Linked DNA regions of Macaca mulatta. The protein of the gene in region 1 interacts with the protein of each later gene in a biochemical or structural test. Links are inferred from orthologs where the notes say so. Each region holds a gene or a part of one and is shown on either strand. Other genes may lie near its edges. The genes, in order: PDGFRA, PDGFC, PDGFB and PDGFA.

Region 1 (7,849 bases):
CCTCATTTAAAAAAATGTTTAAAGAAAATAAATAATAGAAAATTCTTGCCCAAGAAATCATACCTGTCTTAAATCATAACTCTCCTGATGAAAGATGCTTACATTGCTTCCAAATCTCAGAGTCACCTTTATCTTCTCTAGGAATCAAATTGATAGATAAATGTTTGGTTCTTGGAAAATCTTAAAAACTTTCCCATCAAAAGGATGCCATTGGGGTAATTTGTTGATGTACTGGACTTTCTTAGTTTTCCTCCAGATATTTATGCACTGCAGATGTTTGCCATGGAACCAGTGCTCTTCTATTCTGAGGAGTTAGCTCAGCCTGTTAGTGTCTTTGTCTTACTCATTTGGATATGGTAGAATTGAGCAAGACCAGAGATTTAACAGATGTAAGCTCCACTAAGTATACCCCATCTACAGAGTAACAGGTGATCCAGATGTGCTTACAAATCCTACCTTAACAAGCTTCAGGAATTATGGTGGTCATATATTGAAGTTGGGTGGGAGTCTCACATCAGGCTCCAAGGGAGATTACAAATCATTAATTAATAATTAAGTCAAAATATCTCTTCTATCAGTCTTGGGTTTCTTGTTTTCTAAGTTCTGTGCTCCATGGGTTTATTATCTGTACTCTGCATACACAGTCCAAAAGAGTGAAAAGAAGTAGAAAACTGCAGGACGTTATCCAGAATGACCGCAAACCTTCAATTCCTTTGCTATATCACATTTACTCTATTTCAAAAGGAGTAAGTTCAGTTTCAGTCTAAATAAGCGAGACTGAAATTTGAGGTTCAAAGATGAACTGAGAGTTTTCACTCGGGTTTTACTTACTAATTGTGAATTAAAATCCATATCATCTGGCACCACTGCACTCCAGCCTGGGTGACAGAGCAAGACTCCATCTCATAAAAACAAATAAATATATAAACAAATAAATAAATCCACATCATCCTGCTTTGGCCCTGGAAGTCATGAGGGAGAGACAGCATGCCCAAGGGCTATAAGAAATGGAAAATGTGGAATTCTTGAGCACAGATGTGCTTTGTGTTTTGTTCAGTCCATATCCTTGCCTCTGTTCTCATTCCATGTGTTTTGTTTTGTTTTGTTTTGTTTTGTTTTTTTGAGACAAGGTCTCTCGCTCTATTGCCCAGGCTGGAGTGCAGAGGCTCATTGCAGCCTCAATCTCCTGGGCTCCAGTGATCCTCTTACCTCAGCCTCTGGAGTAGCTGGGACTACAGGTGTGCACCAGCACACCTGGCTAATTTTTTTATTTTTTATTTTTTGTGGAGACCAGGTCTCACTATGTTGCCCAGGCTGGTCTCAAACTCCTGAACTCAAGCGATCCTCCCACTTCCACCTCCCAAAGTGCAGGGATTACAGACATGAGCTGCTGCACCCCAGCCTCATCTCATTTTAACTAAGGGAAACCTCTGCAGTGACTGTGAACCATAAAGAACCCATATGTGCCTGAGCCTGTGCCATCTTGGGATATTTTATGGTTACACATAAGAGTCTGAAATATGGAATTGGAATCAGACATCCTCTGTCCATTTGAGTGTTTGGAGGAGTGAATCTAGTGGGGCTTGGTGGAGCTATCTGGAACATTTGCTGCTCTCAGCAGATGCAGTGGCTGTTATAATGGGGGACCTTTCATGGGCATCCAGGCTAACGGATTTTTGTGTAGAAATGGTCATTGTTCATCTAAGCTGCTACTATTGCTTCTCTCAGTTCTCGGGATGAGACCGTCCTTTCTGGTTGCATCCTATTCAGAGCGTGTTTCCTTTTGCAGGGCTGAGCCTAATCCTCTGCCAGCTTTCGTTACCCTCTATCCTTCCAAATGAAAATGAAAAGGTTGTGCAGCTGAATTCATCCTTTTCTCTGAGATGCTTTGGGGAGAGTGAAGTGAGCTGGCAGTACCCCATGTCTGAAGAAGAGAACTCTGATGTGGAAATCAGAAATGAAGAAAACAACAGTGGCCTTTTTGTGACAGTCTTGGAAGTGAGCAGTGCCTCGGCGGCCCACACAGGGCTGTACACTTGCTATTACAACCACACTCAGACAGAAGAGAATGAGCTTGAAGGCAGGCACATTTACATCTATGTGCCAGGTGAGTGGGATGGGTCCCCAGGACCGAGCTTCTTCTCTTCCTGTCTTTCCTGTTAAATGTACTAAGGTTTTAAACATATATATAAGTAATTAATATTTATTGCAGGAAGTTTGAAAGATGTAAGCGAACACACAGAAATAAAAATCATTTGTAATATTATCAAGAAATATTCATTGTTAGCATTTCAGAGCTGTATTAAGTTTGGAAAGTCATCTTTGTTATGACATGTCCTGTATTGGTACTGTATAAACAATCTGAAATATACTCATCTCTATTCAGTTCATTCAAGTTGCACACATACTCACAGTGTGTCCAGCACTGGGCTACGTGTTGAGTATACAAAAATTAATAGGTAAGCCCGGTCTTGGAGTTGCTGATAGTTCATTATAATATCTTCCAAATAAACACTCGATTTTTCAGATTCACTATCAATATACATTTATTCTGAGAGTTGGAAGGTATTTTCTTTTTCCTTTTAAAAAGTTATATATATATATATATATATATATTTTGAAACAGGGTCTCACTCTGTTGCCCAGGCTGGAATGCAGTGGCATGATCATGGCTTACTGCAACCTCAACTCCCCTGGTTCAAGCGATCCTCCCACTTCAGCCTCCCAAGTAGCTGGGATTACAGGCATGCACCACCACGCCTGGCTAATTTTTATATTTTAAAAAATTTTTGGGTGTGTATTTTCATTTGAGACAGGGGTTTCACCATATTGACCAGGCTGGTCTTGAACTCCTGACCTTAAGTAATCTATCTGCTTCGGCCTCCCAAAATGCTGGGATTACAGGCGTGAGCCACTATGCCGAAATTTTTGTATTTTTTTTGTAGAGATAGGGTTTCACTGTGTGGCCCAGGCTGGTCTCGAACTCCTGGGCTCAAGTGAGCCCCACCCACCTCAGCCTTCCAAAGTTCTGGGGTTACAGGCGTGAGCCACTGGGCCTGGCCTACTCCTACATTTTAATTAAAAGGACAAAGGATTGAACACAAGTGGTGGCAATTTCAGTATGCAGTTGGGTAAATTAAAAAGGACTGTGGCTAGAATCCTTGGTTTTAGAACAAAACAGAAACCGCTTAGGATTCTTGCCATCCTTGCTGTTTTGGCATAGGTCGAGGAAGGGGGTTCTCACAGAAGTGTGTCTTCCTACCTTTCTGCCTTTTCTTTTTCAGTTTTTAATGGGCTCCTCTTCCTACCCTCTGTAACTATGGGTGTCCCCAGGGACCTAGACCCTCTTTACTTCTTTCATGATACTCTTATTCATATGAGCCTTCCTTCTTAACAATTAAGGAAAAAATAAACAACTTTGTTTTGAAAAGGTAAGACATTTAGAATGTCACCCCAACTTCATTCACACTTAGATTCCTTCAGGAAAATCCTCTAGGTGTGGAGGGATTTTCCCCTGCTGTGAAGAGAATGGTAGGATCGTGAATATGTTAAAGGCACACAAGTCCCTGAAGTTTTAATCCGTGTAAGATTGTCCAAAAATTCTTCTTGTTCCCTATCTTTTTCCAGCACAGACGCCATCCAAGTAGCCCCTGCATCGCTGTCTGACAGAGATCTTTTGATTTCACAATAATGGAGATTTAGGGGCCTTTTCTGCAGCTGATGTTTGAGACTCTTAGAACTTCTTACCACCGTAGCTTAAGTAGCTGTTTTTCTTTTGGAAAGGAAATTCTCAGGCTCCTTCTCCTTCTCCTTCTTTAAATTTTATGTATTTCTCAAAGGATTACTTTTTAACAAACACATTTCTGTGCTACTTTTCAATCGTACTGACTACAGGTGATAAGAGTTTTTTGAAAGTATTTCATAATAAAACTAGAAATATTTTTTCCTGTTTTGAACAGAGTTGGACTCTATTAAATATTTTATTGTTCATTTTTGTTTTTAGTTGTTTAAATTTTGATTTAGATTCCTGGTTAGTATTTATTTATTTATTTGTAGAGACAGGGTCTCTCTATGTTGCCCAGCCTGGTCTCAAACTCCTGAACACAAGCAACCCTCCCACCTTGGCTTCCCAAAGTGCTGGGATTAAAGGCATGAGCCACAACTCTTATCCAGTATTAATATTTATCATCAGTATTATCTATCAGGAGACAGGCAATTTGATATTATTCACACTTAAAAATCACTTTGTAGCTGTCATGATAACTAATGCCAGTGGGGCAATTCTTCTGGATATATGTGTAAAGGTGAACTTCATACCTAATATCAATACTGCCAGTGGGATAGTGTTTCTGGATTTATGTGTAAAGGTGAAATTAATGTCTAATGGAGTCTTCATTCTTTTTTAAACTACAGACCCAGATGTAGCCTTTGTACCTCTAGGAATGACGGATTATTTAGTCATCGTGGAGGACGATGATTCTGCCATCATACCTTGTCGCACAACTGATCCTGAGACTCCTGTAACTTTACACAACAGTGAGGGGGTGGTACCTGCCTCCTACAACAGCAGACAGGGCTTTAATGGGACCTTCACTGTAGGGCCCTATATCTGTGAGGCCACCGTCAAAGGAAAGAAGTTCCAGACCATCCCATTTAACGTTTATGCTTTAAAAGGTACTCGTATCATCTCCTTCCTTCTTTAAATAAGAGTAACAGGCATAATCATCAGGTGCATGTATGATTTTTTTTTTAAATCATCGCCACTGGTGATCCTAAATTCCTATTTGGGGATTTAGGACCCCAGCTAATACAGTGTCAAGGTGACCTCTATGGCTATAATAATAAGCTTAAAATTACTAAAGGCTAAAGCTTGATTACTCATGCAAGATTTCATGTTTCATCAGTTGACTTCAAAATACTGTAAGGAATTCTTTTCTTACATAAGCCTCTTACTTTCATTCACATTCCTGACTACGGAGGCCCTAAAACAAGCATACACCTTGGGGGTTAGATTCCTAGATTAATTTAGTAACTTAAGGAAAATGATTTCAATTCTGAAGAAAGTAGTTGTAGACTTCAACCCTTTGATGTCCACAGTTAGTACGCTTGGGGAAGTATAATACATGCTGAGGTCAACAGATATTTCCTGACCACTATTCTATGTGGGGGAATGGGTAGCAGCAAGAGTACACTGTTTGAAAATCAGAGCACAGCTAATTTTGTGCCAGGCACTGTGCTGGGTTCTGGGAAAGTACTGAGAATAACTGAGGAGCAGAGTGGAAGAGAAGAAGAGAAGAAAAAATTGGATAGAAACAAAGTGTCTAGAGCAGTGTGGATCATCAAAGGTTGGTTGATTAAATGAATAAGTATGTCAGTCAAGGTGATTGTAGACGAGTATAACCATAACTAACGCACTGCTGAGGAATGCAGTGATTGGAATTTATTTTTATTGTTATTATTTTATAATTCTGTATTATAACTATACACCTAATTGTTGTACACCATCTCAAAATCAAGCCTTGTGAGATTTTCTAAATTTTATCTTGATCAGGGCTTTTATTCATAATTGGTTCACAAATTATTTTTCAGGGTTTTCTTAAAAAAACAAAAAACAACACCACCACCCAAACTTTATAAGATCCTTACTATCCTATGGATTTTTAGGCCCTTGTATTTGTTCTTTTTTATAGCAACATCAGAGCTGGATCTAGAAATGGAAGCTCTTAAAACCGTGTATAAGTCAGGGGAAACGATTGTGGTCACCTGTGCTGTTTTTAACAATGAGGTGGTTGACCTTCAGTGGACTTACCCTGGAGAAGTGGTAGGTACCCTCAAAATGTGCAATGGCTTGGAGCAGAGCAGCAGGGCTCAGAAGACCTGCATTTGTGCTGGGTCTGTCACTGATGGGCACATCACTGAGTTTCTCTAGACCTTAGCTTCCCACCTCTATGATGAACACATTTGATTAAAAAGCCTTTAGGGCTCCTTGATCAATGGGCGAGTTTGAAACGACAGTTGCTGGACCAGGGCCTTCAGAATACATAAAGAGTGTGCACTAAGCCTTCTTTCTCAGAAGTCAGACAGAAATAGGAAGGTTCTCTGGCTACAAAATATCAACCAAAAAATTAGAAGAGCAAAAAAACCGCTGGATTTTACTATTGCGGAGAGTCATTAATTGTCATTGTCTTGGCTTCTGTGCTTCTGACGGTTGATTCATTTGATAGTGTTTATTGCCTGCACTCCTTCCTGTTCTGCCTTGTTGACACTGAGGACAGTGTGTCTTCCTGTTCCACCTCCTATGTGCCTGACCTTTGCATGGCTCACGTTCAGTGAACAGTCACTATGTAATCATTCAACAAAGGTTTAATGATGTTTTACTCAATCTCAAGCACCGTACCAGAAGCTGGTCCAATATTGCCGGATGAAGGGAGGAGGGGAGATGGAAGTGGGGAAAGGGAGCCACCATGCTGCCTCTTGGTCACTGGAGATTTACACAGAGTCTCAGTCATTCGAATGCATTGTCACTAAGTAAGAGAGGCATGTGTAAGAGGCTATGAATGCCCAAATGCAGGAATGACTAACATTCTTATGGAGAACAAAAACCAGATATATATATTTCTTCCCTCTTCTCCTGACTTGTAAATTTCTGCTCCCTGTTCTTTTAGGCATTTGACAGCTTTCTGTCCTTCTATCCATTGATCTCCCTCCTTATATACATTTCTCTCTCCCATGCATTTGCCACTGCTTTTCATTCGTCCTGGAGCATCTGATTGGAAGGTGGGCATTTTCACTATTGCCTCATAAACTTCACATGGTAAAGGGACATTTACAGTCCAACAAATGTACAACTTCCCTGAAATATGGAGTGATTTGGTTCTTCTGTTCACACTTGATTGCCATTAATCCCTAACACATAAACACTGCTTTTTATTTATAGGATACAGTATTTTTTTCCCAAACCAAAGTACATGCTATTTGGCTTACAAATATATAATCAAAGTATTGTTTCATATAATATGTTTTTTTCTGATTGTAAAAGTAATGCAGGTTTAATGCAGATACTTTGTAAAATACGGAGAGACAAAGGAAAGGCTACTTCCCAGAGCATCGCTGTTTATATTTTAGGGAGATAAAACTTTTATTTTTTATTTGTCTTTCTTTCGGTTTTTTTTTTCTTCTTCTTCTTTTTTTTTTTTTTTTTTTTTTGTAGAGATGAGGGTCTCACTACATTGCCCAGGCTGGTCTCGAATTCCTGGACTTAAGTGATCCTCCTACCTTGGCCTTTCAAAGTGTTGGGATTACACATGTGAGCCTCTGAGATTGACTGAGATAAAGTTTTTAAATATTTCTTATCCATAGATAAACATTGAATAATTAATAGGTGTTATTCTTTAAACAGTAGTTTGTTACATTCTTTATCCTTCAGCAGTATAGCACAAACACCTTATATGTGTCATTAACTCTCCTTTTAAAAAATTGGCTGGGTGTGGTAGCTCATGCCTGTAATCCCAATACTTTGGGAGGCCGAGGCAGGAGGGTCACTTGAGGCCAGGAGTTTGAGATCAGCCTGGGCAATGTATTGAGACTCCGTCTCTACAAAAATGTTTTAAAAATTAGCCAGGCGTGGTGGCATGAGCCTGTAGCCTCAGCTACTCTGGAGACCAAGGTAGGAGGATCGCTTGAGCTCAGGAGGTTGAGGCTTCAGTGAGCCATGATTGTGCCACTGCACTCCAGCCTGGGCAGCAGAGCGAGATTCTGTCTCTAGAAAAATTAAAAACAAAATAAAAAATCTCATGATTTTCTAAGCAGCTAGCTTTTTTTCTTTAGGTTTTATCTTTTAGAGCAGTTT
Region 2 (8,320 bases), about 86 Mb from region 1:
ACGATGGTAAGGGGATTGGACACCTTTTTTAATTTTCCATTTTTAACTTAAATTTTGTTAGATACAGGCACATTGGCAGTAGGAAGAGAAAGCTGGCACTGATAAAAAGAGACGGAAAATCCATGAACACAAGATACAGGCAAAAGGGCATGACCAGCAGACCAAAGTAAGTTGCCCCACATGCTACGAAAGCCCTTGAGGAAAAGAACACATACAATAACTGATGTTCATAAGACCAACCGTAGCAAACAGCAGCATATTCCAAATCCAAATTCGGAATGGCTAAAGAAAATGAGAAAAAATAATACGCATGCTCTTGATCTATGAATAAACTAAAAATCACTCACCAACAACACAGGTAGAAGAGGCAATCCTCCCCCAACAACTTTGTCATTGACATCTCTTTGCGCTGTATGCAACAGACAAAGTAGGTTTTGTTTTGTTCCTGAATGTATGATTCTGCTACAACTCAGAAGCACCATCCCAGAACTTAATCATTCCACAATAGGCATTCTCATCTAAAACCAGTGTGCACAAAATATGAGTATTTTTCACCATGATCATATACTAAGTATACAGACCAGACACTCCCCAAGCAAGTCAATGTTATCTTTTAATCTCTTTCCTCAAGTTAAATCTGAAAACCCTTGTTTTCATATGTGAGACAGGGTCAGAAGTAAGGTTACAAATTAAGTATGGTTTATGAAGCCAACTTATAATATTAGAGGATAAAACTGTTTGTACAGTAAAAGTGGCAAGAACTGCAACCCAATGGTAGGTCAAAAACCAGATACCTAACAATAGTGTAAATGACACTAACCCTTCAAAGCTACTTCTGAACCATGTCCACATGATCCAGTCTAAATCCACGTATGCGGCATTGGCTATACCCATCAATTTCCAATTCTACCTCCTCTTTTTTTGTTTGTTTGTTTTTTGTTTGTTTGTTTGTTTTGTTTGTTTGTTTTCTGAGACGGAGTCTCGCTCTGTCGCCCAGGCTGGAGTGCAGTGGCGCGATCTCGGCTCACTGCAAGCTCCGCCTCCTGGGTTTATGCCATTCTCCTGCCTCAGCCTCCTGAGTAGCTGGGACTACAGGCGCCCGCCACCGCGCCCGGCTAATTTTTTGTATTTTTAGTAGAGACGGGGTTTCACCGTGGTCTCGATCTCCTGACCTTGTGATCCGCCCGCCTCGGCCTCCCAAAGTGCTGGGATTACAGGCGTGAGCCACCGCGCCCGGCCCTACCTCCTCTTGAAACACCAAGTTAATACTAAAACTAAGCAGCCAGAGGTAACTGATTGAATAAACACCATTAGGGACTTTAGAATACTCAAGAAAAGAGAGTATCATGAGGAGGGGTCCTTGAAGACAAGAATGAGCTGCTATAGTCATATCAATTTGGACATTTCAGAGTTAGAGAAGACCGTTCACAAAATGATTCAATGCACGAACTGGGTCAATGGGATCTGGGCCAATGGGATCTTCTACGTGGTATCCTCAAGGAGGGTTCATATTTACAGGACTGTACAACCGTCAAAATTGAGAAAGCAAGAGGCCAATAAAAAATCAATCATAATTCAGTATGTGGGCAAAAAGTTATCCACATAATGGAAAATTTGAAAGTCAAAAAGAAGAAGTAGAAGTAGTAGTACTAATGGTAATGGTAGTAGCTCTAACAAATCTGATTACATTCCAGGGGAATCTTCTTCAGCACCCACCTGTTATCCTCACATCTTCAAACTTTGACGTACAAAAATCAACCTGAGTATGTGCAAGAAAATAGCTCTATATTGCCCCCTAGTGCTGGCCAGTGCCACTTCTCCTTGGGCTAAAAAACTGCAAGTAGTTCCTCTACTTCTAGTTACTTCCTGCCGCCATCCTTAACATAGACCAACCCCTAACATAGCCCAAAACTCTGCCCACAGATTAGGAAACAAGCAGCAATTTTTGGCATCATGCATCTTAGGAATGGAAATGGCCCAGCTTCAGATGGCAACAGAATGTGTGTGGCCTGGCTTAATGAACTCATCTCTCCTGAAGGTGTGAACCTACTTGGGTAAAGTGGCCTATAACCACATGCTTCACGACAGCTCTGGGCCCCTTACGAAGTGATGACAGCATGTGGAACACAAGAGAGAACTACAAGGAAAGGACAAAGAGAAGCACAGGTTAGCAAAGAGATTCGGGGAGATGCCAAGAAAGGCTTGATAAGACAAGGCAATAGGAGAAATGATATGGGACAGGAACAGTAAAAAACAGAAGCCAGGAAGCCAGGAATATTGTGCATTGTTGTCATTATGGAGGAGCTTGTCTAGTAAGAAGCAATATTTTGAACTGGACATTTATTTTACATGAGAAAGAACAAAGGTTGGTCTGATCTGTTTCCTGCACTAGTACAGCTGGTGCTGTGGCTCCTTTGATCACTTTCCCCCAGTCCTCTGCAGCTACTGTGATTAGAGATAGATCCCTAGGCTGCCCTTTGATCAGCAGCTCAAGGAGCCTGCAGGTGCCATGTGCCATCACATTAGCAAGTTGTAAGCACCACCATACTAATATTGGCTGATAAATGTGATACTATGTCTTGCTGTGCAGCAGCAAATACAAATAATGTTTGCAAAAGTCCGCAGAATCCTTGTTTTATCTATTTTTATACCCTAAAACTTTCTGTGCTTTCTTAAACATGAACACTTCATAGAGTTTAAATTCAAAGTTGAAGGTTTGAAATACCCTGATATGAAAAGGAAAAAAAATCACTGTGACTTAAAACTATAGCACACCCCATTTTAATTTTGCAGTTATGCCATTTGTGTTCATTTTGCATGGTTAATGAAGTGACAGAATCGATGATATACAAAGCAGTAAAAACATGTATATTCCTTTTCAAATAACAGTAAGAGCCACCACTTGTAAACAGGGCATTAAACATTCCAATTTTAGACAGCCTACATGAACACTGTGGTTTCATGTGCAGTATAAAATTTCTATTTACAAAGTATTCTCAAAAATGACTTCATAATGGTAGATGAAGAGAAAAAGAGTTTAGAAATTGAATGATGTAAATCATATGGGTTCAGAGGCTAAGCAAATTACACACCCTGAAGCTGCCCTGGCTTTATGAAAGGAGCCTTTCTCCAGCTCTGTGCAATCCCAGCCCAAGGGAACTTGCATCTGAGAGTTTTCGAAACATTTCAGGTACACTTGAAAGCTGAAAGTAATTCTCATTTCCTATGCAGGATTAAGTCGCTTCCAGCACACACAAAATAGCAGTCATTCACCGACACATACTAAAACACACCACCAGAAAGGTAAGGACTTCAGAGTACAAAGGCAAGTTTAAAAAACAAAAAATAGGGCGCAAGAGAAATACACTTTTTAATTCCTCTAAAAACTACCACACAGCCTCTTGACCTCTATATTTCCTATCTACTCATTGATTAATTGATGACTTCGACCTAGAGTGCTTCAATTCATGCGGCTGATACATTTCCTGACCGATCCCCCTCGCCCTCCCCAAATCTGAGTAAAGTCAAACATGCCAAGACTCATTCATTTTGGATTCGTTTTTAGAGGCAGTTCTTGAACTTCTAACTCTGGCAATGAGCGAACCTGCAATGTGCATTTGAACTGACGTTCACAATCGCTCCCAGAATGTCCTCACTCTAACTGAGGCTGCAGTGGCACTCACGTTGCCCTCTTGGAGCTTTGTGGCAGCTCCCGAAGTTGCAAACTACACTTAACCTTCAACAGTCCATGCCAGTGAACGGAGCGCGCATTTGCATGTAGAGACCAAAGATACCTTCGCAGTCTGGTATACATCACATACCAACGCACAATGCCAACGTTAACACACACAGCGAGAAACAAGCAGGGGGAGAATGGGGGAAAGACTCACCGTTCTGTTCCTTGTTGCTGGAGAACTGGAATTTACTACTCAGGTTGGATTCCGCCTGAGTCCCCTGTCTCTGGCCGGCCAGGGCAGATGTCAGCAGGAGAAGCCTGAGGAGGAGCATTTGGCTGACTGGGACGAGAGCTCACTCACGGCGGGCACTTTGGAAGCAGCGACTCCCGAGTCTCTTTCACCACCGCCAGGGGAAGGCTGCACTGGGGTGGAAGCGCCGAGCCTGCTCTGGCAGCAGAGAATCGCAGGGTAGTTTCCACATAATCCCATCCAAAACTTTTTCCTAGAGCCCTCTTCTGTGTCTCCAGTTTTTGAAAAGGATCAAAGCAAAACCTGGACCTGAACCAGTTTCCCAAGGTTTAAACAAATCCTGAGCTGTTGGCGAAGTGGTGGGGGTGGGGGTGAAGGCGAGGGAGGAATGAGGGGGTGGGGACGCGGGGGAGCGGCGAGAAGTCACCAGCAAGTTGCTGGGAGCACCTGTCAGTTCGGGGGACAGGACAGAGGCGAAAACTCAAGGGTCGCGAGCAGCCAGACTGGAAGCCAAGTCGGCGGCGAGCAGTTTCTGATCAATAACAAAGCTGCCAATAGATGCGGCTCTCCGTGCGCCCCTCTCCCCCGCCCCACCCCCCACCCCCGAAGGGGGAGGGGGAAGAAACAAGGCGAGGGCGCCGCGGCTGGTCCCACGGGCCGGGGCGCCGGAGCGGGGCCGGGGGGCTCCGGGCCGAGACCGGCCCAGGCGCAGGCGGAGAGAGGCCCCGGGGCTCCTGCTCCCCAACCAGGCGCGCAGTCGGCGCCGCGTCCCGAGCGCCGCAGCACGGATTCCGGCACCTGGCTTGAGTTTTCCGCGACCAAAGTTCACCTTGTTCGGGCGCGTCCCCTGCTCCTCAAAGCCTGGGGCAATTCGGCCGCTCGGGGTCGCCGCGGGGCTCCGGTCGTTCCCCTCCCCTCCCCCCACGCCTCGGGCTCCGCTCTAACCTCGGGGCTCGGCGCGGCGTCTCCGCACGGGGTGAAGAGGGAAGGCCGGGGCGGCCGGGAGGATCCGGCTTGTCCCCTCCCCTTCTCTACCTTCCCCCCGCCCGGCGGCAGACAGGAGGTGGGGGCCGTGGGCCGAGTCCGGGCGGAGCGCGCGGCTGGCGAGCGGGGGAGGCTTAGCGGCTCTCCCGCAGGCGGCCGATGGGGCGGGCGGGGGTCGGCGCCTCTGGGAGGGGCAGCCCCGGGCCGCGTCCGCGCGAGCGGGCTTGGCCGCCCACTGGCTGTTAACAGGTGCTGCGCAGACAGGGGGTGTTGCGGGACTCGCTGTGGGCAAGACCCCGATGGCCCAGGCGAGGAACGCGGCCAAGGCGGCCCCAGCTTTCCTTTCCACGGAATACCTCTAACCCCAAATACAGAGCACGATGGGTGGTGAAGGGTGCTGCAGAAGTAAGAAGTGGGAAAGAACTTCTTGCAACTCTCCTTCTGCCGCCCCCTGTCGCCGGACTTGCCATTAGTTTCCAAGAGGGATCCCCACTCCCTAAGGTCTTTGCTAGGACCCTTGGCCAGAGTTTCAGAACGGAAAGAAGGGAAATGAATTCAAAGGTTTTTCTCCAATTTCCAGCTCCGTAAAGCAGGACAGATAAAGCAAAAGTAAAGGCAGCCAAAATAATAACATTCATTTAACAAGTACTATATTTACTGAATGCCCACTCTGTCGGGCACTGTTTAGAGGCTGGAACCGTAGCAGTGAAAACAGACAAAAGTCCCTGCCCTGGTGAAGCATACGTAGTAGTTGGGCAGCGTTAAGCTAATAGCAAGCTCTTCTGAGAACGGCGTCTAAGGGACTCAGAAGGATCCTGCAACCTTGGACTTTCCTACAATACAGCCTCTAACAAAACTAGGCTGCCCTGAACCCCTGTTGATAGAATTGTTTACATTTACACCAAAAAGGTCGAGAAATAACCGAAATCTGTATGTGGCTTGTGTTCAGGCTGACTTGGAGAGAGAGGCTGATGCTTTAAGACCTAAAGTTCTTATGAGGTAGTCTGAAATGAAACACACATGCCAAGCAGGGCCTATGGTGGTTCCATGTCTGCTAAATGTGTCTGTGACAGGATCCAACGTGCTTTCTTCGTGGAGAAGCAGAAAATCATTGTGAATGTGTTGAAGGCACAAGCAGAGAGTCAGAAAATTGAATTTTAAAATGAAGCTACTTTTGTGTAATAATCAAAATGAAAACTATATATATCAAGCAAGTGCCATGGCAGGCAAATCAGCAGTATCACCCAACTTCTTGTGAAAAAAAAAGTCAATGCAACAATTCGACCATCAAGGACACTTGGGCTGGAACAGAAAACCAAAATAGCAATGTCCCTGCAACTAAGGAGTGGCATTTGAGCAAGAACATATTCTTACTGGACCAAAGCAGGAGCTGATCCTTCTTCAGTGGTGATGAAAATGCCAAGCCCTCTTTGTATACTCAGACACCGACTGGGGCCAACCAACCAGACCTTTCTGCTTGAAATATCCTAGTCGTCTTGTTTTTTTCCTTTTTGAAACCTTTTAAAACTTCACCGATCTGTCTCATTCTTGAAAATTTCGCCCACCTGTCTCATTCATTCATTCTTATCCCTTTACCACTTCTATCTACAGAGTACTAAATATACATTAAAGGCAAATAAGACCTGATCTTTGACTTTAAGGAATTTACAGTTTAGTGGACAGAAGGTTTTTTTAATCAAGTATGGTATTTTATTCCAGTTAGCAGCTCCACAACGCCAGTGTGACTCCATATTTGCATAATATATTCCAAAAATATTTTGTAAATTTGTGAGGGTGAAGGTTTTATTCCCAATTTTAATGACATAATGGGAATTAAATAAAAGATTTAAATTTAAATAAATTTAAAAAAAAAGATTACAATGAATCCATTGTAATCTATTTGTCATAAAATTCATTATTCTCCAGTTTTTCTAATTTTGTGTGTTTGGTTTTCTAATCAGCATTTTTCTAAATGAAGTTGTTATACGTCCACAGAGTTGAGTTTCCTGACCACCCACATAGAGGGTGTGTGTGTGTGTGTGTGTGTGTGTGTGTGTGTGTGTGTGTGTCTGCAAATGTAATCCATTTGCTCTCAGGAGATTGGACGGGTGATGACTACTCTTTATTTTGTATCATTTCATATTGGCTAGAACAGTGCTTGGCACAGGGTGGTAATAAATAAACACTCATGACTGACTGACAGGTTTCTTTATTGGAGTCACTTACATTCTCCCTGGAATTTCAGCGCAATGGTTGTATTTGAAAAGTTACAGATGATCTAGAATAATACTCTACCTCTGCGTTTCACCTCATCCATATTCTACAGATTGATTTGACAATCGCCTTATAAATAAAGTCAGCCAGGTGTTCCTGAATGACCCCTAGACAAAATCACATCCACATTGGCCAATTTCCTTTCAATGTACTTGCATTGTCATTTCTTGAACTGCTCTTGCCCTTGACGTAGTTGATTCTTTTAACACATTATCCTCTGCCTGTCTTCCTGCTCTATTTTGCTTGTTAACCTTTTCTAGAAAAATGAAATCTTTGCATTGAAAGTAAATGTTATTTAATCCAGAGTCTGTGCAATTACTGAACAATATATTTTAAATGAATATGGCTTTGTTTTGGCCAAAGCATTTTCCTTGATGAAAGGCATCTGTTCCACCAACCAAGAGAAAATAATTTCAAACATTCTTTGTGGTTTTCATGTTTTCTTAAACCTTAAGAAGGATTGCCCGTTGCTGCTGCATGCATGAAGAGTATTACCTACAAATTCTTATTAAAGAATATACTTGGTGGTTAACAATGATAATTTGGGGGAGGGGGTGTCACTACTAAATTTTTTTAAGTGAAATAAGATTTTAAAGCAACCTACTCCTTTAGCTAGTCACTTAACACCCAAAGGGGCAGGAACCATGGGGACATATTTTTGCCCCAAAACAAACCATATCTACGTTTTTTTGCTCTTTATTTTTCTGTTTTGATCCTAAGACACACACACGTGCATGCACACACACACAGAGGCATATGTGCAAAGTTGTTTTAAGACTTTCCCTAGGACTTTTCAGTATTTTAGTGGCAGATAATTGAGCATGAATTCCTGAAGTTCAGAAAGCTTTGTTCTACCTAAATACTCATTGTGTTTTGACAATGGCTGACAAGTAACAATTTTATATATATACATATATATATATATATATTTATAAAAGGCAGGGCTGAGGATATCATTAGTAGGCAAAGTAAATGCCCACAGACCACAGCAGGAATAAAGACTGTATTAGGAAGTAAATAAATAAATAAAGTCAGTAGTCTGTCTTAGAGTCATCCTCTTTTCTCTCCACTTTTTCAGCTACCTCATCTTGAGAAATATGGCCCGCTATCTCTAGGTTACGAGGATATATATCAAT
Region 3 (6,618 bases), on another chromosome or scaffold:
TTCAAGAAAGTGAGTGAGTGAAGGAATGAATCAGTCCATTGATCAATCAATTGCTGGGAGCCCAAATGTTATTCAGTCTAACCTCAGCCACATTGTTCCCATTTTCGCTTATACACTTCCAGTGACACGGGGCTCACTACTTCGGGGGGCAAAATGGTTTTAGTTTTAGATTGCCCTTATGAGCACCCAGATCTTTAGTTTCTGGGTCCCTCTTAGCCCCAGTCCACGCTGCAGGTGGGACCTAGACTACATTTAGCCTCTTTTTTATGAGCTGGTACCCAAGTCTTCATAAGCAAGAGAAAGCGCAGAACGCAGGAGCTTGGAGCCCACGCACCTTTCCTCATCCTCTCTGGCCGGAGTGAGTCTGTGACTTGCCCAAGGCCACACAGCTGGCTAAGGGCTAAGCCGAGACCAGACCCCAGACCCGGCTTTCCACTGTTTCCTTCTAAATCCCACATCCCCTCTGGGACTTCCTCCAGTGTTCCCCACAGTGGCTGTTCCCTCCCCACAGCCAGCCCACCCCACGATGCGGAGGATCCACTTCCTCTATGGAAACCCTCAGGCTGCAGAAACCCATCTCTCGTCACTGCCAGAGACAGGCACAAGTCCACGTGTCAGGACTGCGTCAGGACCAAGACCGACAGAGTGGCCTGTGTGTCTCTTCCCTCCCACTGCACTGAGGCCTCCCCGAAGCCACGGGCCTGCGTGTATGTGCACGCATGTGTGAGCATGGATGTGTGTGTGTGTGTGTGTGCGCGCGCCAGTGTGTGCGATCGCGCCTGAGGCTCCCAGAGTGAGAGGAACACGCCGCAAGCTGTCGGCACATCCTGCCAAGGCAGAAAGGTTAATTGTCACACATGATGCCAACAGACAGACCTCCGGCAGATTCATTTGGTTTTGTTTTGTGGTTATTTTTTTTTACAACTTTAAATACGGAATATAAATAAATTTTACATTTAAAAAATAAAAGGAAAGCCCCCAAAAATATAATCACCGACTTTACAAACTGAAGGAAGCAGGTTTTGGAAGGTGGGAAGGGGGAAAGTGCAGTAGGTGGGAAGGGAGGTGGGAGCTCAGACCCCACCCCTAGGGGGTCTTGGGGATCTCTTCCCTTCTCTCCCCCATTCCCAGCCCAAAGCTGGTTTCCTAGGAGGAGCCACCAGAGGCGGAGCTTAGAAGGATCGAAGATGGGGAAGTGTGCAAGCAGGGAGGGGTGCGGGCAAGAGGGCTGCACCCTCCCTTGGAGACCTTCTCCCGGGTGTCCCACACCCACCTGGAAGGGCAGTTGCTGGAGCAGAGGACTCTGGGAAATGGAGGTCATGTGGACAGCAGTGTTGCCTCCCGGCCCCTACCACAGTCTCCCTCCTATTTGGCCACTCCAAGCCACAGGCTGCATCAGGGGCACGGCCAGTCCACGAGGAATCTTTGTGTGAATTAGGAAAAGGATCCTTTTCCTCTTTACCTACATATGCCAGAAATTGTCATAATAAATACACAAATCAGCTTTATCTATGATGTGAACAGTGCTCCCTGCATACAATGTCTTTGTGCAGTGCATACCCTGCACAACCTTACATGGCAGTCTTAGCTGGGGTGGAAAATGATGAGCAGGTCCCTCGCTGCCCTGGCCTCTAGTCTTCTGCCCTAGAGAGGAGTGACTGGGATCATCTGGGGCCTTAATAAGGGGTTCAAGAGCCCCTTGGTGGAGCAGACTGAAGGGCCAGGACAAGAGGAAGACGGAGGGTGGAGGTAGAGAGATGAAAGGAACCAGAGGAAGAGGTGAATCAGAGTGGAGTGCAGGGAGGAACAGGTGGCAGGAGGCAGGGGATGCTCAGGTCACCATCTACAGCCACCTCAACCGCAAACTCCGTCTCTAACCCACCTGAGAGGGCACCCAGCCACTTGGTGTGCTGGCCACACCCACCTAGAGGAGTCCACGTCTTCAAAACGAAAACGAAAAGAAGCCACTGCGTACAGAGGCACCAGGGAGACGAGGTGACTGGTGTTTGGGCACTGTGGGAGGGGTGTTCTCCAGTCTGTGCGCCCGTCTGTGGTCTTAGCCACGGAGTCCGAGGTAGCCTGGCCTGCCTGGAGGTGTCTCCCCTCAGAGCTGGCCAGGGGTCCAGGGACCAGGCAGGCTACGCTGAGAGGTCCTCAGGGCCATGTGCAGGGCTCCTCCGGCCAGTCCACAGCGCTCGGGTGTGGCCCAGGCCAGGTGCAGGGGAAGGAGCCCGTTTCCCCCAAACAGTGACTCCGTCAGTCTCTCTCACACTCTTATCCCAAGTTCTTGGAGTCAGGCGAAGAAGACAGCGATGGAGTTCAGTCCTTCTTTTTCTTCTTGAGCTGCTGGGCAAGACGCCGGAGGCCGCTGGGAGGAGACCCGCTGATGGAAGGGTGGACGGACACGTGGAGGGGTGGGGGAAAGCACCATTGGCCGTCCGAATCAGGCATCGAGACAGACGGACGAGGGAAACAATATTATCACTCCAAGGACCCCATGGGGGCAATACAGCAAATACCATATTAAATAACCCTGCAGGACAAGCAGAGAGACAGGGGGGTCAGAGACAACCTAGAGGGTCCATCCCACATTCATATGTCCTCCATGCCAGGGGCAGGGAGCTGGGGACAACTAGCTACCCCTGATTTCCAGCAGTGCTCAGGGCTGGGGCATTGAAGGGCTGGGAAGATTGAGATTTAGACCTCCCATTCTCTTAGGGCGTGCTGGGACACAGCTGGGCTGGGGTCTCCAAAGCCCACCACCCACCCTGCCCCAGCTGATAACTGAGCAGAGAGGACCAAGGCTCAGAGGCTGGATTTGTATAGAAAAATCCTTTCCCCTGACCCCATCCACAGGCCACGGAGAAGGAAACACAGGGTTCTGGGCCTCAGTTTCCCCACCCGGCCCTCACCTGCCCACACTCTCCTGCCGATGCCCCTAGGCTCCGAGGGTCTCCTTCAGTGCCGTCTTGTCATGCGTGTGCTTGAATTTCCGGTGCTTGCCCTTGGGGGGCCGGCGGACTCGCACCGTCCGAATGGTCACCCGAGTTTGGGGCGTTTTGGCTGCATAAGAAAAAGAAAGACCTCGTGAGCATGTGGACCACTGGGGTGGTCTCTCCCGACTGACCAAGGCCTGCCGCGGACCTCCTGAGGTCTTCTGGACTCAGGAAAGGGACAAGAGGGGAATCTGGGCCAGGGTCCTGGGTTTGGATCCCAACTCCACTGCTCACCAGCTGTACATGCCTTGGGAACAATGACTGAACCTCTCTGAGCCTCGGCGCCTCCATCTGTGGAATGGGGGTAATAAGACTGCCCACCTCATAGGACTGGTGGGAGGAGTAAATGACAGTACGCTGGCAAAGCTCTTTGCACAGTACCGGACACAGAGCCAGGTAGATTAAATATGGTTTCAAGTTCTTTGTCACTGCCCACAGACCAGTAGAGTTTATTTCCCTGCCCCTTGAATCTCGCCTGGAGTTGGAGCTATTTAACCAACAAGAGGCAGAAGTGGTGCTGTGCCAGTTCCAGGCAGAGGCCTTAAGAAGGCCCGGAAGCTCTCACCTTCATGCTTTGGGGGGCCCTGGGCCGCCACATAACAGGTCTGGCTACCCTGCTGGAGAGGCCACATGGAGAGGCCAGGTAGGGACTGGCTCTCCCCACAGAGCCAGAGGCCCTGGACTACAGGGAGAGGAAAATAGGCCCAGCTGTCCCTGTTGAGCCTCCAGATGACCACAGCCCAGGCTGCCAGCTGACTGCAACCAGTAGACAGGCCAACAGAACCGCCCAACTGAGCCCAGTCAACCCCCAGACCTGGGAGAGATAATAAAAAGCTCCGAGTATGAAGTAGTCAGCACATGGCAGCTGCTACAACTCACTTTTTTTTCTTATTTTCCTTAGCTTGACCTACTATTGAGGTTTCCCCCCAACCTCTCAGCCTCATCCGGTCACGTGGTAGGGAGGTCACTGGGCTCTGGGCCAGAATCACACTCCCACCATGAAGCTGGGCCTTCGGGTCAGTTGTGCCTGTCACCTACCTGCCCCTTGCCACTCTGAGAAGCAGTAGAGTGGGATGGATGGGCCACAACTCAGGCTGTGGATCTGACTCACCAGGGCTCAAATCTGAGCTTTCCCATGTATTGTGGACATTGGAGCAAGTCACTTAAACACCCTGTGCCTTGATTTCCACATCTTTATTTATTTGTTTTTAAGACAGAGTCTCACTCTGTTGCCCAGGTTGGAGTGCAGTGGTGCAATCTCAGCTCACTGCAACCTCCACCTCCCAGGTTCAAGTGATTCTCCTGCCTCAGCCTCCCGAGTAGCTGGGATTACAGGCCTGTGCCATGACACCCAGTTAATTTTTGTATTTTTAGTAGAGGTGGGGTTTCACCATGTCGGCCAGGCTGGTCTGGAACTCCTGACCTCAAGTAATCCATCTGCCTTCACCTCCCAGAGTGCTGGGATTACAGGCGTGAGCCACCGGGCCCTGCCGATTTCCACATCTTTAAAGCAGAGAAGACAGCAGCCCTGGCCTCCTAGCGTTAGGAGACAATACATGGAAATGGCCAGAAACTCCCCAGCTAGTGTTTACCATGCACCTGGTGCTGCTCTATGCTCATTTCCCTTCACGGCAGGTGCTGTTACCGGCAGGTGCTGTTACCCACACTTTACAGATGAGGAAACTGAAGCAGAGAGACTGGGATTTGAACTCAGGGATCTGCCTCCAGAGTGTACACCTCCAACCACTCAGCACAAACGACAATGTCTGTGAGCCTCAGTCAAGGGGAGCTCTTATACACTATCTCCCTCCTGGGTTCCCAGGTGGCTGTCTTGGCAGGGACAGCTGTGTCTGCTGAGCTCAAGGCCAGCCTTTTCCTGGGAGCCTTTTGAGCTCTCCCAGCCCGCCGGGATCTGACACCTGACCTCCCACCTTACAGACACCAGCTCCCACGAGGCAGCTGTCCCATCTCTGCAAATGGGCAGATTTTCTAGCAGTTCAGGGACTTGGATGGGCTTCAGATCCCCTCAGACAGAAGACACCAGGAGGGCCACTGAAGGGCCCAGGGATTTTCTTCCCCAGAGCCTGGGCCATCAGCAGGACACCGGGCTATACCAAGCCCAGGCAAGCACAAGGTCACAGCTCGAGTGACAGCACGCAGATCTGAGCCCAGGTCTGACACTGACCACAGTATCACAAAGAGCCACCAAGCCTTAGCCAGGCCCATGGACAGGTGACAGAAACACCATCATACTCAACCAAAATACCGGAACTAAAATGATGGGACTTTACGTCATCTACGTTTCACTGGTATAATGCGCCTCCCAAGAAACTGGTTTAGAAAATTATGTGAAACAAATACATGAAGCAACTCATTCTAAACATAAAGAAAGCCAGGCGTGGTAGCTCAATGCCTGTAATCCCAGCACCTTGGGAGGCTGAGGTGGGAGGATCACTTGAACCCAGGAGTTAGAGACCAGCCTGAGCAACAAATCAAGACCCCATCTCTACAAAAATTTAAAATATTAGCTGGACGTGGTGGCACGTGCCTGTAATCCCAGCTACTTGGGAAGCTGAGGAGGGAGGCTCGCTTGAGCCCAGGAAGGAGTTCAAGGCTTCAGTGAGCTATGATCATGCCATTGCACTGCAGCCTAGGTGATGGAGAGAGATCCTGTCTCTTAAAAAAGAAAGAGGCTGGGCATGGTGGCTCACACCTGTAATCCCAGCACTTTGGGAGGCCGAGGCAGGTGGATCACTTGAGGTCAGGAGTTCCAGACCAGCCTGGCCAACATGGCGAAATCCCGTTTCTACTAAAAATACAAAAATTAGCCAGGTGTAGTGGCAGGTGCCTGTAATTCCAGCTAATCCGGAGGCTAAGGCAGGAGAACTGCTTGAACCCAGGAGGTAGAGGTTGCAGTGAGCCAAGATTGCACCACTGCACTTCAGCCTGGGCAACAGGGTGAGACTGTCTCAAAAAAAAAAAAAAAATATATATATATATATATATATATATATTTCCCTTAATAGAGAAATCATCCTCCATGTTAACTCAATAATTTATAACACGTCAGTTTGAAGCTGTCATATGATCAGCCTTTCCAGGGCATCCCAGCCACTCAGCTCAGCTCTAGGAATAAGACCCAGAGGTCAAGAAACGGCTCTGTCTTCACAGTCTTGTTAATCAGAAATGAGAATGAAAAGATTGTCCTGTCCCTAACAATAGAAAGTTACTGAAAAAGAACTATCACTCACATGATTTTTTTTAACGCTCATCTAATCATATTAATCATTTTTTTTTAAAGGCAGGGTCTTGCTCTGTTGCCCAGGCTGGAGTACAGTGGTGCCATCACGGCTCACTGTAGCCTCGACATCCCAGCCTCAAGCGATCCTCCCACCTCAGCCTCCTAAGTAGCTGGGACTACAGGCGTGTGCCACTATGCCTGGCTAATTTTTGTATTTTTTGTAGAGACGGGGTTTCACTGCCTCACAATGCTGCCAATGCCGTCTCGTACCCCTGACTGATCACCAGCTAGCTGTTCTGCATATGGAGCTCTCTCTCTCCAGTGGCTTCTCCCCACTGGTCCTAGTTCCCCTGCTCAAGGGTACGAGAAATTAGCTTTATT
Region 4 (7,371 bases), on another chromosome or scaffold:
GTCACTCAGCCACAAACAGGGGCTCTGGGGCAGGTGCCGCAGGGACGGCATACGATTGGTTGACGCATAGTTCTTTCAAAATGGCTTAAATTAAAAAATAAAGCAGGGTAAGGGAGAAACACAAAGCCAGAAACATTTAGGAAATGATGCATAGGTAGGTATACCATGTTTATTTTAATACATCTCATTAGTTTGCATCTTGCTAGGAAAAATACCGTCGCACTGTCCTGACAGTTACAGCAGCCTGTGTGTTATCGGTGTAAATGTCATCCAAGAGATAATTTAAAAAAAAAAAAAAAAAAAAAAGCTAGCCAAAGAGTAAAAAGGAAAGCTTAATAATCACTTTATGGTGTAAAAAAAAAAAAAAAAAAAAAAAAAATTTCCACTTAAGGCTCTCAGGAAGGTTTCTGTATGGGCTTAAATACTACAGCGAGGAGGTGTGGTTTCTAAAGTTCGCGTGGCGGTTTCCAAGACATTCCTGCTTTCTGCGTGCCCCTGCAGAGCCCGCCAGCACCCCTCTGGAGTCGTTCCCAAAGCAGGCTCTGCATCCTCGGCAAAAAAGCACCTGTGACCACCCGGACAGAAATCCAGTCTGCTGAGACCTCTGCACTTCCATCCCACGGGAGCGACCCTCCATCTCGTCGAGTTTAGATATTTTTGTGAGTCCGTTTTGTTTTTGTCATGTTTTGTGGTTTTGTTTTCTCTCTCTCTCTCTCTCTCTTTGACAAGGAAGCTTCTTACTGCTTCACCGAGTGCTACAATACTTGCTTTGATGTCACATTAAACAAATGTGCACTGTCTCTTTGTTCTCCCGAGTGTTCTTGGACACAGTTTTTCACGGAGGAGAACAAAGACCGCACACTGGCAATAAAGCACCGTACATAGTAGGTTCAGGAATGTAACACGCCATGTACATCCATGTCCCAGGAAAGGGCTGCGGCTCATCCTCACCTCACATCTGCAGGGAGAAGGGAAAGACAGACACTGAGACCACCGACCAAGTGAACCACCCAGCACACACATCACTACATAGGAGGCAAACAGGGTGAAAACATTTAACCCAATCAGGGGTACACATGGATTTCAAGTTTTCATGAAATTTCCAGAATCACATTTGCCACATTAGCCATGTTGCAGTACCCTGACAGGAATTGGGATTAGGCTCCCAGCATCTCACAGAAGAACATGTCTAGAGACCAAGCCCCATTCTTCCATTGTACAGATGGGGGAAACTGAGGCCAAGAATGGTTCATTTGCCCTTCTCCCTGCCTTCCTTTCTTCCAGCCGAGGGCTTAGATGTGATTTCTGGAGCTCTGGCAGCCACCTTGGCCCATGAGACAACCCTGAGAATGGAGGCCACCAGCCAGACAGAAGAGTCTGCACCTAAGCAGACCTATGCTGATTCTTTAAGAACAACTCTTCCGCATCCTATGTTGCCGCTCCTTCACACACTCCAACACTTGGGCCAACTATAGGCTGAGCATGAGTGCCAGCCAGGCATGGGACAACAGGAGTGCCAGCCTCTCACCATGGGATCTGTCACAGCAGGCCCATGGAGGCCAGAGCCTAACGCTCTGTAGAAACAGAACCTGCAGGCAGGCACAAAACCACTCATCACACCACACTTTGGGCAAACGAAGCCAAGGCTGGCTGACCAACAGTCCTGGACTACTTCAAAGACCCGCCCAAGTGGATACTTTCCTCCCAAGAGGCTCCTCATGAATGGACCTCACCCGCAGGCCCAAGTCCCACATTGCAAACAGGAGCCAGGGTTCTCAGACACCCTATCTCTGAGAGCCTCCTCTCTTCTAAAGAAACTATTTGTTTTGGCCGCCATGGAGTCCCACGTGCCAGGAGGAGGAACCAGGCCAGACAGGGCTCCAACTTTCCCAAGCCAGGCGGGCCAATGCCAAGGACCAGGAAGGCTTGAAACTGCCTCCTCCGTGATGACAGCGACTGCCTAGGTCCCATCTCCATCTGGGAAGTGACGTGTGTTGCTAGGAGACGTTTCCCAAGCTCCCTTGCAGTGGAGGGATGGCAGTTGAGAAAAACACAAAAGTCACTGGGTGGAATTTCCAGGATAGCTCTCTAAGGGTGTTATTTTGCCCTTTTCCCCCCTCACTCCTTCTTCCAGCCTGGAGCACAGATGTGGTTTCTGGAGCTTTCGCAGCCACCTTGGGCCATGAGGCAACTGCAGATGGATGCCACTAGCCAGACAGAAGGGAGACCCTGATGATACTTCAAGACTACCCTCCCTGCTCTGCAATCCCACTTTTAGATGAAAGTCATGAAGCTCGACCTTATCTCAATCCCTGTGCTGTCTGGTGTCACTAGCAGCCAAATGCAATTTCCAACACAGGAGCCGACAGCCCTGTGCGTTTATAAAGGATTTCCAGATATATTCAGCCTCCAACAGTCCTTATCTGTAATCTCAGTTAAGCCTCAGTTTTTTCATCTGTCAAATGGGGTGGGTGATCCCAGAGTGGTCAGGCGGTCAGAGCAGCCCCACCGCTGCTCAGGTCGCCCAACCCATTCCATTCATGTGCAATGCTCCTGCGTCCCCAATCAACGACAAAGAGAAGGACAAAGCTGAAGGCAGGCTCCCAGAGTGGGAGTGAGCCGCGGGCCAGGGCGTTCTGCGAGGCAGGAGCAGACGGGGAGCAAGGAGACCCAAGCCCAGCAGACACCATGAAGGCCAATCAGGGCCACGTCCCTGCCGCACCCGGCGAGACAGGAAGCGTGATTTGCTGGTGTGATCAGTTGGTTGCACTTCCCCGCCCTGCAGGACTCAGCATGTCCGGCGGACAGGTCCTACCTGGTTGGCTGCTTTAGGTGGGTTTTAACCTTTTTCTTTTCCGTTTTTTACCTGACTCCCTAGGCCTTCCTGTTAACAAAAGGGCACGGCAGTGAGTGGGCCAAGGGATGGCCGTCGGGGTGAAGAACTGAAGCAACAAATACCTACGGTGTTTATCTTTCCAGAAGAGAAGGCCAGCACCCTGGCATGGAGAAACTTCTGAGTCCCCTCGTGCTCCCAGGGCCCAGACACAGCAGGGCACAGAGGCCATTCTGCTCCTGGGTGGAGTCCGCTCAGTGGGGTGAAGGAGAGACCCCAGCCAGCCAGGGCAGCTGTAGTCCTCGAACTTGCTCCTCCCGCCCATCCCGGCAGGGGCCCTTCTTCAGATTCTTCTCATCTCAGCCCCGTGGCCCACTGATGAGTTGGGCATCTTATGCACTCCCAGCCCCTCTCAGTGAGGCCTGAACCTCCTCTCCTGTCAGTGCTGCGGCTTGGGCTCCCCACTGGACACCTGCAGGCGTGGGATCTGCCTCCTCAGCAGGCATCTGGCCCAGGAGCAGGCCAACAAGTCCTTCAACAGCAGCCCAGATGCACACAGTCGTGAGCATCGCGCTCCAGGGGGCCACCTAACACCCCAAAAGCAAGGCTCCGAGGATCTGTTCTCGAACACCAATGCCAACGAAGGCAGCCACTCACCTGTGTCCTCTTCCCGATAATCCGGATTCAGGCTGGTGGTTGCGCAGGCGCACTCCAAATGCTCCTCTAACCTCACCTGGACTTCTTTTAATTTTGGTTTCTTCCTGACGTATTCCACCTTGGCCACCTGTCCGACAGAACACAGCCCAGCCATGAATGCCTGCATGGAGTTTCAGACAACACGACGTGCTGGGAGCCAGGGACAGGCTGGGAGGGAGGAGAGAGCAGCCTGACCTCTGACCTCTGACCTCCTCCCAGGAACGCTACCTTGTGGTGGAGAGTGTAGGAGTACCAGGTGAAAAACCTACAAGCTGCAGTGCAGTTTTTTGTGTGTGTGTTTTAGTTTTTTTGAGTAGGATCTCACCCTGTCACCCAGGCCAATCATAGCTCTCTGCAGCCTTGAACTCTTGGGCTCAAATGATCCTTCCACCTCAGCCTCCCACCTGTAAGCACAGGCCACCATGCCCAGCTAATTTAAATTTTTTTTTTTTTCTGGTAGAAATGAGATCTCGCTATGTTGCCGAGGTTGATGTTGAACTCCTGGACTCAAGTGATCTTCCTGCCTCAGCCTCCCAATGTGCTGGAATTTCAAGCGAGAGCCACCACGCCTGGCGTTGGAGCATGGCATTTTGTAGATTCATCCTATTTTTGTTTAAAATAAACCCAAAGGTTCACGTGTGCCTGGGGGGTCTGAAGGATGCACACTGCTAAGGTGTGGGAGTTTGGGGGTTCTGGGGTGCAGGTGGCCAGGGAAAGTGTTTGCTTGTGTGTGGATGTGCAGCTGGAAAATGTTTTCAAATGATCATGTTGTTATTAAATACATTTTAAAAGCCAGGCTGAGCATGGTGGCTCACGCCTGTAATCCCAGCACTTAGGAAGGCCAAGGCGGGAGGATCACTTAACTCCAGGGGTTCAAGACCAGCCTGGGCAACATAGTAAGAGCCTGTCTCTAAAAACAATTTAAAAACTAGCGAGCCATGGTGGCACCTGTAGTCCCAGCCTACTCAGAAGGCTGAGGTTGGAGTATCACTTGAGCCCAGGAGTTTGAGGCTGCAGTGAGCTGTGATAATACCACTGCACTCCAGCCTGGGCGATATACCAAGACCCTATCTCTATTAAAAAAAATTTTACAGCCATGGCCTAGGAATGGGGGGTTCGTGGCTGTATCCTAGCCTGAGGTTGTTGTGGACTTGAGAGTCCAGATGATAATCCCAGCTGCTGGCCTGATGAGGTCCCCACCTCCCTGCCAGCCCCCAGGCAGCAGGGCCAGCAGACCCACAACCGGGGTCCCCTCATGACTCCCCCAGGTCCAAGGCTCTCCTTGGGCTCAGAGAGGCCTGACCTCGGAAACCAGGGCCAGGAACCCTGGGCCATCACTGAGGCTCCACAAGATGAACCGGGAGGAGCACAGGCTGGTGGGCTGTGGCTGTCAGGCACAGGCAGCTCAAAAGCGAACCAGACCTCAGCCGAGTGTCTCTCTTCAGACTGGACTCTGCCTGTCTGCAAGCCACACCTGCCCTCAATTCTCCAGGCACAGAACCACAACATAGGGGTCCTGCCTCCACAGCCCCTTCCTGGGGGAGCTGAAGGCAGACAATGGCCCAGTCCAGGCCAGAGAGGGGGAGCTTCAGGCATTCAACAAGGGAGGCAAGAAACACACACACACACACACACATGCACACATGCATAATGCACATACAAGCCCCGTCATGGGAACACAACTCCACCCCCCACACACACCTGTATAATGCACACACATACCCTGTCATGGGGAGGCAACTCCACCCCCCACACACATTCATGCAGGCATAATGTACACATGGGCCCCATTATGGGAATCTTACTACACACACGCCTGGCATCAACAGACCCCTAATGCACGGCCAGGGACCGCGTGAGTCGAGCACCGGCTCTCCCAGCCCAAACCCCAGCACTCATGTCATCCTCCCAACCACCCTATAAGGAGGCACGACTGGCACCTCCATTCACAGAAGAAGAAACTGAGACACAGGCAAGCCCTAATTAAACCTGTCCCTAACTGCTAGGCTGTCCCACCTGCCCCCTGGGGCACATGCCAGGGAACAGCCACCACCTTCCTGCCCTCCCAGGCCCTGGGGAGCCGAGCACCCAGCAGGCGCTCCATCTGTGCCCACGGAACCAGCCCTGCCGCATACAGGGTCTAAGTCCAAGAACAGCCCCCACTTCACCCCTCACGGTTCATGGGGAAACTGAGGCTAGAAAGGAAACAGAGGCCGGGTCACCCCCTGAGCACAGGGGCATGGGGGAATGCACACTGCTGGGTGAATGAGGAGACCTCAGCACAAGGTCAGATGCCCCCAGCCCAGTGGCCCTGCCTCCCAGGCAGTCAGGAGGGTAAAGGAGGGAAGAGGGGAATGTTTCCCAACCTTCTTCAGGGGGTGGGGTGGGGGACTCTGGAGACTGGGCATCAGCAGGACCCCCAGGCAGAAGGTCAGCTCTGCACCCTGGGACCAGGCAGGCTCCGAAGGTAAGCCAGTCCCTAAGGCACTGGAGACCAGGCTTGTCCAAGGCTGAGTTAATGGTTAACCCACAGTGCAAAGGGTGCCTGCAGGCGTGTGAAGTGGTCTGGCCTGCCTGGGGCATGAACAGACAGCCAAGTATGAGCTCAACAGGTGCAGGGCGTGGGACGCCTGGGGTCAGGAGCCAGCTCAGAAACAGGACCTGGCCTGGGAGGTTTCGCTACGTCACAAAGCGTGAGAGAAAGCGGCCAGGACACCGCCGCTTCCTGGATGGGGTTCCGTTCCATTCGGGAGGCTTCAGACCAGTCCCCCAACTCCCGCGGCAATCTGCCCCTTTCCCCAGGACAGAATCCTCCAGAGAGGCTTCTGCAGCTGTGCACACACTTCCACCTCCCATCTGGAAAAGGGAAGCCGATCACACCCACTCAAGGGTTGAGGAATAAATGAGGCTGCACACGCAGAAGCCCCCAGAACTGAGGACAAAGCCAGCCTTCAGGAGTGGGCTGCCACCGGCGTCTATTCTAACACAGAGCCTCGAAACCAACCCGCCCCCTGGTCCCCAGGCTCAGCACAGTACCACCCCCCACCCACCACAGGCAGAGAGTGAGTCTAGAGTCATGCTCCTGTTGAGGGCCTGGGGTGGGAGAGGCCCAGCCTAAGGATGAACTGCAGCAAAGCCTCAAGAGGAGCAGCAGGGCCGCCTGGGACCTCAGCCACCCCCAGCCCTCCAAGCATGTCTTTAGCCCTCCCTGAGTCAAGAACTGCCAGGTAGTAACTAGGGATCCCAGTGCACAAAACCAGACCCAGCCCCCTCCTGCCTTGGCAGGGGCCGAGCTCCTTCTTCCCCTCCCCTGGAGGCCCTGGACACAGGTCCCAGCAGGTGGAACAGCACCAGCCTCACATCCTGCCACCTCCTGGGCTCAAAGCACCCCTACTCTGCTGCTCCCACCCACCCTCAGCCTCTGCAGGGGCGGCCAAGTGAGGCATGGGGCAGGTGGGCTCTGAAATCTGGGTTCGTGGGGATGGGCTCGGGCAGGGCGCCCTGTTCTGCTTCCAGCCCTGACCCTCCGGGTGGCACAGCCTCTTTGGTCAACAAGCAGCCTCACCTAGTTCCCTCGGCAGGGCAGATACCAGGGCCTGGCTCGGCAGAGACGGCAGGCCCATCTGGCCAGACACCAAAGCCCAGGCGAGGGGCAGGCTTGCTGTCTCATCCACTCAAGATGGCCAGCCGCCGCAGGTATGTGGGCTCCCAGGACACAGCAGAAATGCCGCCCCTCTGGGCACCGTGCGAAAGGCACACGGCACGGCCGCTCGTCTGGGAACCCACTGTCTCCTCAGACAAGCCCATTTTTATCAAACAAAAACAAACAGCGATTTATGATT

Evidence for each region.
Region 2: the proteins of PDGFRA (region 1) and PDGFC form a complex in vitro, tested with the Homo sapiens proteins (2 studies listed by BioGRID and IntAct, with this or other methods). The link is inferred for Macaca mulatta from reciprocal best matches to the Homo sapiens genes PDGFRA and PDGFC.
Region 3: the proteins of PDGFRA (region 1) and PDGFB form a complex in vitro, tested with the Homo sapiens proteins (3 studies listed by BioGRID). The link is inferred for Macaca mulatta from reciprocal best matches to the Homo sapiens genes PDGFRA and PDGFB.
Region 4: the proteins of PDGFRA (region 1) and PDGFA form a complex in vitro, tested with the Homo sapiens proteins (2 studies listed by BioGRID). The link is inferred for Macaca mulatta from reciprocal best matches to the Homo sapiens genes PDGFRA and PDGFA.

The regions. Positions count from the first base shown.
Region 1 is NC_133410.1:79,233,990-79,241,838, reverse strand, and holds part of PDGFRA (platelet-derived growth factor receptor alpha), read left to right. Parts: intron 1-1,789; coding exon 1,790-2,107; intron 2,108-4,413; coding exon 4,414-4,674; intron 4,675-5,690; coding exon 5,691-5,821; intron 5,822-7,849. UniProt on the Homo sapiens protein: Tyrosine-protein kinase that acts as a cell-surface receptor for PDGFA, PDGFB and PDGFC and plays an essential role in the regulation of embryonic development, cell proliferation, survival and chemotaxis.
Region 2 is NC_133410.1:165,591,069-165,599,388, forward strand, and holds the start of PDGFC (platelet-derived growth factor C), read right to left. Parts: upstream 4,905-8,320; 5' UTR 4,872-4,904; exon of another isoform or gene 4,125-4,871; 5' UTR 4,009-4,124; coding exon 3,891-4,008; intron 1-3,890. UniProt on the Homo sapiens protein: Growth factor that plays an essential role in the regulation of embryonic development, cell proliferation, cell migration, survival and chemotaxis. Potent mitogen and chemoattractant for cells of mesenchymal origin.
Region 3 is NC_133415.1:12,333,448-12,340,065, reverse strand, and holds the end of PDGFB (platelet-derived growth factor subunit B), read right to left. Parts: intron 3,064-6,618; coding exon 2,939-3,063; 3' UTR 2,913-2,938; intron 2,534-2,912; exon of another isoform or gene 2,384-2,533; 3' UTR 891-2,383; downstream 1-890. UniProt on the Homo sapiens protein: Growth factor that plays an essential role in the regulation of embryonic development, cell proliferation, cell migration, survival and chemotaxis. Potent mitogen for cells of mesenchymal origin.
Region 4 is NC_133408.1:34,434,981-34,442,351, forward strand, and holds part of PDGFA (platelet-derived growth factor subunit A), read right to left. Parts: intron 3,618-7,371; coding exon 3,491-3,617; intron 3,366-3,490; exon of another isoform or gene 2,963-3,365; intron 2,885-2,962; coding exon 2,829-2,884; 3' UTR 2,816-2,828; intron 959-2,815; coding exon of another isoform or gene 948-958; 3' UTR 1-947.